3 linked regions of the Mus musculus genome follow. The protein of the gene in region 3 purifies or fractionates together with the protein of the main gene of each other region. This does not show direct contact. Links are inferred from orthologs where the notes say so. Each region holds a gene or a part of one and is shown on either strand. Other genes may lie near its edges.

Region 1 (3,954 bases), on a different chromosome or scaffold from region 3:
TAAAAGTACCTGCAACTGACAAAGTGGGGGCCTCTCATATGCAAGAGAACAGTTTAAACGAGTCTTCATTTTTCACTCGTTTTTATGTACTATCTAAAGAAAAACAGATTTGCAAATAATTGTTAATCTGTCAGCCTACTGATATGATCTTCAGAATAAGGATGTATGAAGATGTGAAAGCCACCAAGTTTGCAAATAGCAGGACACAGAAAGCACAGTTCTGAACATATTCCTCTCTGATTCTTTAGTCTTTTAGCCAATTAAAAAAGAACTACAAAATGTAACTTGATATGGTAGAAATTCATGAGTTTCAGAAAGGAATTATGACATTGATTTCTAGCTCTACTATTATACAGTCCTAAACAGTGACATAATCTTACATAGTAACCCTGAATTATGGATAAATGATTCCATTCTGATTTCATTAAGAGAACTATTACAAGGATTAAGGTCATACATATTTAAGGTCTTTTGGAAATATTTCTGAGCTGCCAGATAAGTCCTTGGAACCATATGTGGCTCTCTGGAGAGTAACAAGCGCATTAATCACCATTTCTCCACCCTATATAATTGGCTTTTGAGACAAAATCTACTATAGCCTAGGCTGACCTTGAATTTTCTATAAAGCTAAGGATAACCTTGAACTTCTGATCTCCTGCCTCTACCTCTCTAGCACTGGAATGACAATCAAAGCCACTCAACCTGAGATCATCATCATCGTCATCAGAAACATCTTGGGAGTTTCTTGGCAGTAATGGATCAATCCCAGAATTTCAACCATTTTACAACAGACCTACACCCTAACCCACAGTAATTTATAAGATTAGGCATATCTAAAACAAATAACACCTGAGTATAGAAAAGAAAATATATAAAAACACAGACATACACACACAGATAACCTTATTAAAGAATTCTTTGTTATCAAGATCAAAATGTCATGTTAAAAAGCATACTAACTGTATCAGGAAAACTCTAACTTTGATTTTCAGAATTATCATTTGTGACTAAAGGTAAATCAAATGTTCCTTGACTTGTTTTTCACTCTAGGCAATGAGCTTAGATAAACAGAGTATCTTAATCCATATTGTAAGTTTAAAGAGACAAATTTTCATGTGAATGTACATTTTTTTGGGCAAACAGATATATGTAGAATATCAAACTATCATAAATATCAAAGACCCTCATCAACAACTCTAATTATAAAAAATGATCTTTTAGTTTTAAAATTGTATGATTCTTACAAATGTAACTCTAGGCATACTTGTCTTTGGAGATGTGGCTGCATCATGGAATACTGAGGGGCACTGTGCCTGGGGATCCCTGGTATTCTGGCAGCATTCTGAGCCAGTCTCATTTGATGGGCTTGAAATGCTCCACAGTTCATGTTGCCTCTTTGCATTGTTTGCACACTGATCAATCTTGGAGGCTGTAAAAAAGCAGACATTTTAATTCATATAGTAGTTCCTTTTTTTTTTTTTTCTTTTTTCTTTTGGCTTTTTGAGACAGGGTTTCTCTTTGTAGCCATGGCTGTCCTGGAACTCACTATGAAGACCAGGCTATTCTCAACCTCAGAGATCCACTTGCCTATGCCTCCCAAGTGCTGGGATTAAAGGCAAACTCCACCATGCCCAGCTGATATTTCTACAAATTTATTGTTCAAATCATAAAATGTTAAGGTAACAGTAATTCAGTTAGAACAGAAGGGTATAAATATTAAGTAGTATTAAGGGTACACTATTAGGTCATATTCTCTTTCCAAACCCAATACTTACAGAACTGATAATTACTATAAAAAGTAACTCCAAATTTTTCCTATCTACCTTTTCTAGGTGGGAGTGCGGGAAGGAAATGGAGGTCGACATTAACTCATCTCGTGCGGAGCTAACAATATTGATTGTGAAGCAGCATATAAACAACATCAAAGAAAAGAGTAATTTCAGCCAATGCCTAACGCATCAAAGCTTAGAAACAATCTGGGTCACACAAATGGGGGGGGGGGGTATATAACATATCAAGAGGCAAAATGTCACTGCTTCCCATGATCTTAACACCTTTATTCTTTAAACTTCCCCCAAATTTCTGACCTTTGAACTTCACCTAGTAACTCATATTGTGTAATTCATGTGCAAAGAAGTAAGTGTAGATTTGTGGTCATCTCAATTTCTATCATTAATGGAAGAGCACAATGCTTACCTGTTGTTGTAACATCTGTGGGGCTGCTTGCCTAGGATGCTGCTGGGTTGTTGCTGTTGTTGTTGGTATAGGAGCTGGTGGTTGCTGCAGTCTCATCTGTTGTAACTGCTGATGTTTCTGTGCATACACTTGTTGCTGCATGTGCTGGAGTCGAAGCTGTGCTAAATTAATCTGTCCAGGGGTTTTACTAATGTGGTTTGTCCCTGGAGGAACTTGCCCAACTACAACATTAGGAGTATAACCAGGAGCTGGCTTACTCTCTATTACTAGATTACCTGAGGGTTTAAAAAAATAAGAAGGATTTACAAATAATCAACTAAATTGCCCACTTCAAAGATGAATCACTATCTTTTCCTCCTTCTGACAATTAGCACCTCAGAGCATCCAACAGTACATCACAAATGAGAGCTAGGTTTGATGATGCTAATTAGAAGCCCCTTGAACCCTCCCACAGATAAGTTCATTATTCAGAATTCACTATCTGCTCTTAGACCTGTGTGGGTGTAGTGTATGTATGCATGTGCATGTTTTTGGAGAGGGGCGTGGATGGTTGTGGGCATGCACAACAGTGCACATGTGGAGGTCAGAGGACAACCTTTGGATGTCAGTCCTCACCTTTCCAGCTAGTTTGAGGCACGGTGTCTTTGCTGCTGCATAACCCAGGCTAGCTGGCTGGAGACTGAAAGAGACATTATTAGAGGAAGGATCCAGTCAGTCTGAACCAATTCTTCCATGACAAAGACTCCAGGATATATTCATGATTGTTGCTATACTGATTCTATTCTATACTTATTCTTTTTCTCTTTGTAACTTCCTTTTCTTTCCTTTCTTTTCTCTTTTTCTCTCTCTTCTTCCTTCCTTTCTTTTTTCTTTCTTTCCTTCTTTCTTTCCTTCTTTCTTTCCTTCTTTCTTTCCTTCCTTCCTTCCTTCCTTCCTTCCTTCCTTCCTTCCTTCCTTCCTTTCTTTCTTTCTTTAAATGTGTACAGGTGTTTTGACTATATATGTCTGTGCACCAACCACTGTATGCCTGCTTACCCAAAGAGATCGATCAGAAGAGGCTACCAGATCCCTTGGAAATCGAGTTACAGACAGTTGTGAGCTGTCATGTGGGTGCTGAGAATTAAATCTGGGTCCTCTAAAGGATAGCCAGTACTCTTAACCACTGAGCAATCTCCCCATCTGCTTTTGAATTGCCAATGTTAAGGGTGAAACAATACCCAGCTACCAAATAATTTTCTGTGGAAATTCTGAACACTTTAAATCATTTATACCTTTAAACTAGTTATTTCCCTTTCTTTTTATAGTCATTTTCTTTGAGGTAATATTGGCCGGCCACAAAGAAAAAATCTTGTTGCAAGTAATTTTTGTAAAAAACTTTTTGAAAATGCAGTATAAAATGAAATACACACACACACACACTCACATTCATTCTTCTCTCTCCTAGTAAGCCAAACAACAGTGATTTTCTGGTGCTATATCTAAAGTCAAAATTGAGTATCTTTTTTCTGTTTGCCCAAATAATATGTTTTTTTTAAACAGTAAAATTCGAATCTCAAGGGCGTGATTACTTTGAAAGTGGAAATATTCAAATGGATGGCAGACTTCATTCTGAGTCATACTGTCTCATTTCATTCTACTGTAAGAGAAGGGGTCTTACAAACGCATAGGCTCAAGGAACCCTCCTGTCTCAGTCTCCTTAGTAGCTAAAATTACAAAAGTCACTTGCTTGGCTTTTTATTTACTCTCCAACTTTCACCC
Region 2 (3,954 bases), on a different chromosome or scaffold from region 3:
GAAAATCTTTATATAAAAGAAATAATTTATTGTAGAACCTAAAGGCAAATCATTTATATCGCATTGTGGGTAATCTGCATAATTCCTAGAAACAAAACAGTAGAAGAGTGCTGTTTTCTAATTAAAATGTACATAAATTATAACATTGCAGAAATCAGTTCATGACTTGATTCCAACTTATAAACTGTTGTCTAAGGTATATTTAGTAGTAAGTTGTTAAAACTTTAAGTATGTTTTTTCATGTTTTCTCATTTCTGATGAGCACAATATATTCTCTTGTGTGGCCCAAGAGTGGGTCAAAGACATGGGTTTTCAGAGGCACCCAGTAAGACATCTTAGCATTAGGCCACCAGGCAATGGCATGTGAAAAGGAAAAAGCTGAAAGGTTGAGATTCTAAATGGAAGAGGAGTTTCTGTAATTACTGATTGTTCTCACTGTGGGTTCTGGCCTTGAAACTTTAGAAATGCATTAGCAGAAATTATCTGAATATAAGTTTAAGTTAAAACTGGAAAAAGTAATATATAGTTTAAAAACATTACAAAGTTTTGTTTTAAATAGTGTGACTTTGGTGTGTAATTTGTTTATTGTATTTGTAGTTCATATATTTTGTGATAATTTATTCAAGTGTGTGTCCAATGATGTCTTTTCTGTTTGTTTGTTTTTGTTTTTTTTTAATTACCTTAGTCACGTGAACTGGAAATTTCAGTTTATTGGCGTGATTGGCGATCTCTGTGTGCTGTAAAATTTCTGAGGTTAGAAGATTTTTTAGACAACCAGCGGCATGGCATGTGTCTCTATTTGGAACCACAGGGTACTTTGTTTGCAGAGGTAATACATGTATTTTATTAATGTGCATAACCACAGTAGAAATTGTATGTGTTATCAGCATGATGTAGAAATGGCAAGAGTGTTAGGCTGAGAGACAGATATGTTGAGCTCTTGGCTGCACTGCTGCATAAGGACGTGACCTTGAGGAAACTCATGTCTCCTCTAGGTCTGTGTTCTCATCTGGAAAAGGAAGGGGTTGGACTGATTGTAGCTAAGGTGCCTTCACGTTCTCCAGCTTAGGAATCTAGTAGATTTTAGTGAATCATAGTCCATTACAGTGTTGATAGCAACTTGTATTTTCTTTATTGCAGGTTACTTTTTTTAATCCAGTTATTGAAAGACGACCAAAACTCCAAAGACAAAAGAAAATTTTTTCAAAACAACAAGGTAATTACTAAGGATTAAGCATAGTACTTTATGTATAGAAAAAATCCAGCTCATAATTTGAAAGTAATTGTGCTTTCTTTCTTCTTAGTTGTTCATTTCTAGCCATTTTTAAATGAGGACTGAAACACGTCCTTAAGTGGAATAACAGAACACCGTGCTTTTGTTTTATTTTCAGTCAGTAGCCTATGTGACCTCAAAGGGTGCTGTCTTTAAGGACGTCCTTAAAATGATTCCCCTGCCTCCGTTTCCCAAGTACTTGGACTATGGGCACATACCGCCATGCCTGACTTTTTACTGAATTTGAGTAATAATCAACTCACGACTCTTACCATCTCCCATCCACTCTGCTTTGTGAGCTTATTTGAAGCATACTCATATATCACTAAGACTTGTTGTTCGTCATAACAGATGACTTAAACTTTAACCACATGTAATACTAGAGTTAAAAAAGAAATCAAACTCTCGATCTATTTTTAAAAACTGTTTGTGCTATTTATACGTGCTTGTAATAGAAAACAAAATAGTTAAAAACTAGGTTTTAAGTTACAAATTTGTTCTTCATAAATTCTAAACTGATGAATTATGAATTTCCCTAATTATGGTTTTCAGTAATGTATAAAGAAACTACTTATCCTACTTTCGTTATTCACTATGTCTACAGGCAAAACATTTCTCAGAGCTCCTCAGATGAATATTAATATTGCCACTTGGGGAAGACTAGTGAGACGAGCTATTCCCACAGTAAATCATTCTGGCACATTCAGCCCTCAGACTCCTGTGCCTGCAACAGTGCCAGTCGTTGACGCACGCATTCCTGATCTAGCACCTCCGGCCAGGTACTTGTCTTAGAAGGCTTGAGTGTATCTTCCATAGCCATTGCTAGGATGTCTAACGTGCTGTGTTCAGTCTCAGTCTTTCCAAGTGGAATTGCAGAACTGTTGCTCCTTATTTAAAAGAAGTTAGTTTGCTTTTATTTTGCAGCTACATAAAAATAAAGACTTTGATTGCAGCTTTGGTAAATTGCTTTGTCTTCTATAAGTGACTCTACAGTAACCAAATTGGACTTTGATCTTGAACCTGAACCTCCTCCAGCCCCACCTCGTGCTTCTTCCCTTGGAGAGACAGATGAATCTTCTGAATTGAGAGTTTTGGATATACCTGGACAGGCAAGGCATTCTAAACATTCCTTGTATAAGTTCTTCTTAAAATAAAACCATTATAGTGGCTAACATGTACATTGCAATTAAAATTATCAGTATGAAGTATGAATTTATGGTTTTCTGGTTCCTTTATGTTTGTGTTTTATAAGTGACTTTTCTCAGGTAGATGAAATTGATAGGAGATAGCCGTTCTTCCTGTTGGAGGACTGTTATCATTTGCCTCTGTATTCAAGAGTCCAAAAGGAATGCAATGTTTTGCAGACATTAGAAGAAGATAATATGCTTGAGGGAAGGAGAGCTGTTTGTTTAACAATAAGAACAAATGAGCCAATCTGAAACTTTTTCTCATACTTTTGGAATTCTCTGACTTTTATCTAACAGTTTGTTTTAATGAGCATTTGATATTTTACAGGGTTCAGAAACTGTTTTCAATATTGAGAATGACAGAAATAACCTGCGTCCAAAATCCAAATCTGAATATGAGCTGAGCATTCCTGACTCAGGTCGAAGCTGCTGGGGTGTTGGAGAGCTTGATGACAAGAGGTAAGGGATGAGCAGGCACGCTGCTTCGCCGTCTGTCCGTCTGTCCGTCAGCCGGCTGGTGGCTGGAGTGGAGTTGATGGCCTCATCTTTAATCGTTATGTTTCAGAGCTCAGCAGAGGTTTCAGTTCAGTCTACAGGACTTCAGGTGCTGTGCTGTCTTGGGGAGAGGACACTTTGGAAAGGTAATCTGTCAGCACTGTAGAAATAGCGTATAGGATGAGAAATTCAAATAGAACTCAGTTATTTATTCTTATTTCAGGTGCTGTTGGCGGAATATAAACACACAAATGAAATGTTTGCAATAAAAGCCTTAAAGAAAGGAGACATTGTGGCACGAGATGAAGTAGACAGGTCAGTTTTTTAAAATGAAGTTTTTCCTTGTGGCTAGAGATTGAGAGAGTAGACAGCAATGGATCTGAGTTCCTAGAAATATTTGATAATGCTAAATTTATCTTCTATGGCAAAACTAGACATTAATTAAATGCTGTTTTTCTTTTCAGTCACCTCTTTCCCTTAAGCCAGGTTTGGTGATACCAAGTAAAGACAGGGAAATGTTTAAAATAATTCTGTTAAATTTTAATAAGTTACAGTATTGATAAAGTATTAAAATGTAACTATTACTGATTTGTGACTTACTTAGTAAAACTAATCACATTTTCACCCGTGACGCAGATAAAATGTCATTTCCTGATAATATATAAGTAACTCAATGGTTAATATAGTCTGTGTTTTGAAATATACCTTTATGAATTTTCCTTTATGTATTAAAAATTATAGTTATTGGGGAAAGGATTGTTGGAGGGGGTGACTAGCAGGGGGCCAGTGAGCAGGATGTCAAGTGACTAAGTAAAAATTTAAATTCTTAAAAAATATAGTTATTTACTGTATATATGTGCACACATGCAGAGGCATATGTCAGTCATGTTGAGACCAAAACCAGCGTCTCTCCGTGTGAGTCTGGAGATCAGATTCAGGTCTTCTCAGCAAGACCCTTCTCCTGCTGAGCCATCCTGCTAGACCTCCTTTTGTGGTTTT
Region 3 (4,543 bases):
AGCTGCCTTGGTCATGGTGCTCTGCCAGAGAAATAGAAAAGTAACTAAGACATTTAAACTTGACATTGTCATTTAAATTTAACTGGGCCGTTGAGAAAAGGGCAAAGACAGAACACATATCCACTGCAAAGTGATGTGTGCACCAAGCGTGCTTGCTCTGCAGGGCTGGGGAGACTGGAGAATGTAAAAGGGAGTGCTCCCAGTGACAGTGTGGTCACTTAGTCATGAGGATGCCTCCAGAGAAGCCGCTTCCTAATTGGCTGAATGTCAGAGTGCCATCACTAGACCATGCATTCTTATAGGGCACATGTGTTATGTCAACTGAAATGTTGTAATTTGGTGCCTGACTGTGCCTCTCAGAGACTTGTAGAGGGTGTGTTAGGGTGCTATATCCACTTCCTCCTTGGTTTGAACATCTCCCATCACTCTGAAGGAGGTTGTATGCCACAGATGCTGGTCTTAACTATGGCAGCAGCAGGAGCAGATCCGGTCTTCCTGGAAGGTGTTGAAGGCTGTTCCACTGTGTCAGAACCAGGAGAGCAAGATGCTGTCTCACCCTGTGCTTGGCAGCATGGGAGCCCGGAACTTCAGACCAATCTAGGCCTGAGATTCCCTTGTAAAATATGGGAGTGAACTTCCTCTGCTTGGAGTTGTTTCGAGGAATGAGATGTGAAGAGCTCTGGAGGGGCTAGGACTGTAGCCTAGTTGGCAGAGTGCTGTCACTATGTACAAAGCCTTGAGTTAGATCCCAAGCACTGCATAAGCCAGGCGCCGTGGCACATACCCATTACCCCAGCACTTAAGTGGTGAAGGTAAGTGAGCCAGGAGTTTAACTCCCTTGGCTACATCGGGAGTTTGAGGTCAGCCTGGGCTTACAAACAGGACCTTGTCTCAGAAAGAGCAAAAACAAACACAAGCGACATGCTGGGTAGTGGTGGCGCATGCCTGTAATCCTAGCACTTGGGAAGCAGAGGCAGGCAGAACTCTGAGTTCCAGGCCAGCCTGGTCTACAGAGTATGTTCTAGGACAGCCAGAGCTGTCACACGGAGAAACCCTCTCTTGAAAAACCGAAACAAACAGAAAACGAACGAACAAACAAAAAAGACAAATACAAACAAATGAACAAAAAACACCAAATGTCCAGATTCACAGAAAAATTGTCATGCTGAAATCTGCTAGCCTTTGAGACCTTTAACCCAATGGTAACCATACCTACAAGGGTTGCTCTTCAATTAACTAAGGCCTCACACATCTGGAGGGATTGCTTAGTGGTGAAATGCACAGGTTTGGTTACTAGCACCCACAAGTTGGCTTACTCTGTAACTTCAATTCCAGGGGAATCTGGCACTTTTGTCTGGCCGCCAATGGCCCCAGGCCTGTACACAGTGCATGTACAAACATTCAAGCAAAACATCCATATACATAAATGAAGGTTAACCAAAAAAGATTTTAAGACTGTAAATGAAACACCCTTGATGTACAAAAGAACCACCAGGGAAATGCTTGGGTATGGAAGAATGCAAGGATTTTGTACTTTTCTCACTAAAGAGGCCTATAGGATAACCTGTTGAAGGAACCAGGCTCTTGGGGCAAAGGCCTGGACAACTAGACACATGACTTTAGGCGTAATGACTCATAAACTGGTGTCCTAACTTGGAAGGCAGGGAGGATGAAAGACCTCAGGGCTTTAGTGTGGCATTGACAATTCCAATGGACACTTTATAAGAAAATTCCAAGCATTTCTGGTGCTAAGGTCCATAGGCCCTCCTTTCGGCTCCTACAGGATTGTGTGTGTGTGCGCACAAATTATGACTCCATCAATCAAGCTATCTCGGGCAACTGGGGGCGTTGATATCTGCAAGCAATCGTTACCTAAGCAAAGGCTGACAATGGGACTGATTTCTTGGTCACAACGCCCTGTGAGAACACGCTGCAGTAAACTGCCTCTCCTAGACCAAACCCATCCATCTTAGTGAGCATGCTCAGATCTCGCTCCAGAACCCCTAAAGGATGGGCAACACTTTTGCAGCTTTCAGCCACTCTGGAAAAACAGGAGGGGCTTAAATGCAACCAAGCCAGGACCAGGAGGTGGGACTAAGCAAGGAAAAGCCTCGAACCTGGCGGTCGTGGCTGAACCGTGTGCACGCGCGCACACACTCCAAATCCCCACACTTTGGCTGCCCACAACTCACACAGCATGTAACCCTCCCCTGAACAGCAATCTACCTCTACCCTCCATGCAAACCGCTGCGGCCCTAGAGAAGGAACATCTGGCAAACTCCCGGGCCTCCTGCGCAGCGTGCAACAGGGGCGGGGAAGCTAGGCGGGGCGACTTGAAAGCAAGATGAGTGTGCTTCAGTCTGCTTAGTCCCCAACCATTTTCCGTTTTGGGTGTGTGTGTGTGTGTGTGTGTGTGTGTGTGTGTGTGTGTGTGTGTGTTTTGAGGGATTGGAGATATCAAATCCAGGACTCTTCTGAGCCTTTTCTGAGGCAATGGCTGATGTGCAGGGCATGGCCTTTTCAGATGATGTTACGGGTCCCCAGTTTCTATGCTGAAGCGCAATCCTCAGTCTGCATTCTTTACTATGCCCCCCCCCCCCCCCCCCGCACCGCAGGCTTGCTGCTTTCTCCCCCGGTCACCGCTTGCATTTGCTATGCTCCTCTGCTTTTTCGCCCCCGCCATGTTGTGAGCCCCACCTCCCAACCACAGGGGCTGCAAGCAGGGAGAACATTCTCCTTTCCTTCTGCTCCTTGCAGTGCGCGCCCTGGCGCCCAGGTCGTGGGTAAACTGAAGCATTGGTGCCGGATACTTGGTTATCCCGGAGTAGACTTTGCTGTTTCCAGGGTCACCCCTGCCCAGTTTCCAAGAGCCTTCAGGCTTGAACCTTGGCTCCCTCAACCCTCAGCTCTCACCCGAGGCCAGGGGAGCCCCAGGGCCACCTTAGCAATGCAGTGAGGCAGGTCGGGGAGAGGGGCTCTGGACTAGGGTCTGAGCCTTCGGGTCCTTGCCCGGCTATAGCTATCCGACACTCACCCTGGCGCCGAGAGAGGTCTGTCGGGCGGCTGCCGCGCGTCCATTAGCGGGTGGAGTGTCCGCTTTACTTCCGGGGCGCAGGCTCCGGGCGCCCCCCACCCCCTCGTACCCTCCCTTCTCCGTCTCCTCCTTCTGGGTCCTCTCCCTCCTTGTCCCCTCCCTCCTGATCCTGCGTTCCTCCTGCCCCGCCCCACTCCGCCCCGCCCCGCGTTGCCGGGAACTGGCATCCTCTGCCGCAGCGACCGCCCGCTCAGATCCAACTTTGCTCGGAGGTGGCGTGGCGGCGCCGGGGGGCGTGGGCAGGGAGGGAGAAAGCGGGGTCAGGAGGAGGGACCGCGAGGGGTGGGTCGCCGGTTCGCCAGCTCTCCATCCTTTCTGTGCACCTTGCGGTAGGCAGGGAGAGGCAGCCGCGGCGGCAGCAAGAGGCTAGTGCACACCCAGCTAGGGAGACTTAGGAAACCACGGACGGACGGACGAACAGACAGGACCTTCCCCAGCGCCCCCTGAGCCATGGCCGAGAGAAAGCAATCTGGAAAGGCAGCAGAGGACGAAGAGGTCCCTGCCTTTTTTAAAAACCTGGGCTCCGGCAGTCCCAAGCCGCGGCAGAAATTCTGCGGCATGTTCTGCCCTGTGGAAGGGTCCTCGGAGAACAAGACCATCGACTTCGACTCGCTTTCAGTGGGCCGGGGCTCGGGGCAAGTGGTGGCTCAGCAGCGCGATGTCGCCCACTTGGGCCCCGACCCGCACCGGCAGAGCCGGCGTGCCAGTGGGGAGCCATCTGTTGAATCGAGCCGGAAGGTGGAGATCCGGCGGGCCTCGGGCAAGGAAGCCCTGCAGAACATCTATGATCAGGTTGGTATGGGGGTGGAGGGTGGGATCGGAGCGCGGGGCTGCCCCCTGGCTTGTCGCGGAGGACCGAGCATCCCCGCGTGGCAGCCAGCACCAGCCAGCACGCGGCACCAAGAGCTCTGCCTCCCGCATCTGCACGCGCACCGCGCCCTGCCCACCCCTTCACCGCGCAGGGTGCGGCGAGGCACGGGTTCGCCAGTGGGCGTTTGAGCTCCCACAAAGGCTGCCCTAGCCTCCTTGTCCCTGGGAGGTGGGGAACCCGCGTCAGGGACCAGCTGATCCCCGGGCTGGAGGCGTCGAGTGGCGATTGGGGTGGACCACTGTGCTGTTCTTAAATCCTCCCGGGCGGCATCCGATTGCAGCTGCGGCTCAGAGCCCCACCCTTTTTTGATGCAGCTCAAAGAGAGCAGTGGAAGGCTGCAGTGAAGACTAGAGGATTCCCTTGGGGTCTGTAGGGACAAGGGCTTACATGGCTACTCAGTGTGGCAAGGTCCCCGCCTCTAGTGCGCTCAGCACCATGGTTCTGAGCTAGGAGGTCAGGACCACGGCCAGCGCCCGGAGCCTCTTACCATTGCCTGGACTGTGTTCAGCAGCCAGTGAAGAGTCCGGGAGGTTGTGATGTCACTGAGAAAAGCTAGATAGCCCATGTAGAGAACAAAG

What was found. Proteins that work in one complex are often made in the same cells at the same time.
Region 1: the proteins of Pnma2 (region 3) and Trim33 purify together in Homo sapiens (affinity purification with mass spectrometry; 3 studies listed by BioGRID and IntAct, with this or other methods). This does not show direct contact. The link is inferred for Mus musculus from reciprocal best matches to the Homo sapiens genes PNMA2 and TRIM33.
Region 2: the proteins of Pnma2 (region 3) and Pkn2 purify together in Homo sapiens (affinity purification with mass spectrometry; 3 studies listed by BioGRID and IntAct, with this or other methods). This does not show direct contact. The link is inferred for Mus musculus from reciprocal best matches to the Homo sapiens genes PNMA2 and PKN2.

What each region holds. Positions count from the first base shown.
Region 1 is NC_000069.6:103,327,555-103,331,508, reverse strand, and holds part of Trim33 (E3 ubiquitin-protein ligase TRIM33), read right to left. Parts: intron 2,472-3,954; coding exon 2,197-2,471; intron 1,430-2,196; coding exon 1,265-1,429; exon of another isoform or gene 1,245-1,264; intron 1-1,244. UniProt on the Homo sapiens protein: Acts as an E3 ubiquitin-protein ligase. Promotes SMAD4 ubiquitination, nuclear exclusion and degradation via the ubiquitin proteasome pathway. According to PubMed:16751102, does not promote a decrease in the level of endogenous SMAD4.
Region 2 is NC_000069.6:142,808,789-142,812,742, reverse strand, and holds part of Pkn2 (serine/threonine-protein kinase N2), read left to right. Parts: intron 1-685; coding exon 686-829; intron 830-1,140; coding exon 1,141-1,216; intron 1,217-1,877; coding exon 1,878-2,052; intron 2,053-2,255; coding exon 2,256-2,382; intron 2,383-2,788; coding exon 2,789-2,919; intron 2,920-3,025; coding exon 3,026-3,101; intron 3,102-3,178; coding exon 3,179-3,270; intron 3,271-3,954. UniProt on the Homo sapiens protein: PKC-related serine/threonine-protein kinase and Rho/Rac effector protein that participates in specific signal transduction responses in the cell.
Region 3 is NC_000080.6:66,909,785-66,914,327, reverse strand, and holds the start of Pnma2 (paraneoplastic antigen Ma2 homolog), read right to left. Parts: upstream 3,121-4,543; 5' UTR 3,035-3,120; intron 22-3,034; exon of another isoform or gene 1-21. Other genes in the region: Dpysl2 (dihydropyrimidinase-related protein 2), read left to right, coding at 3,545-3,886.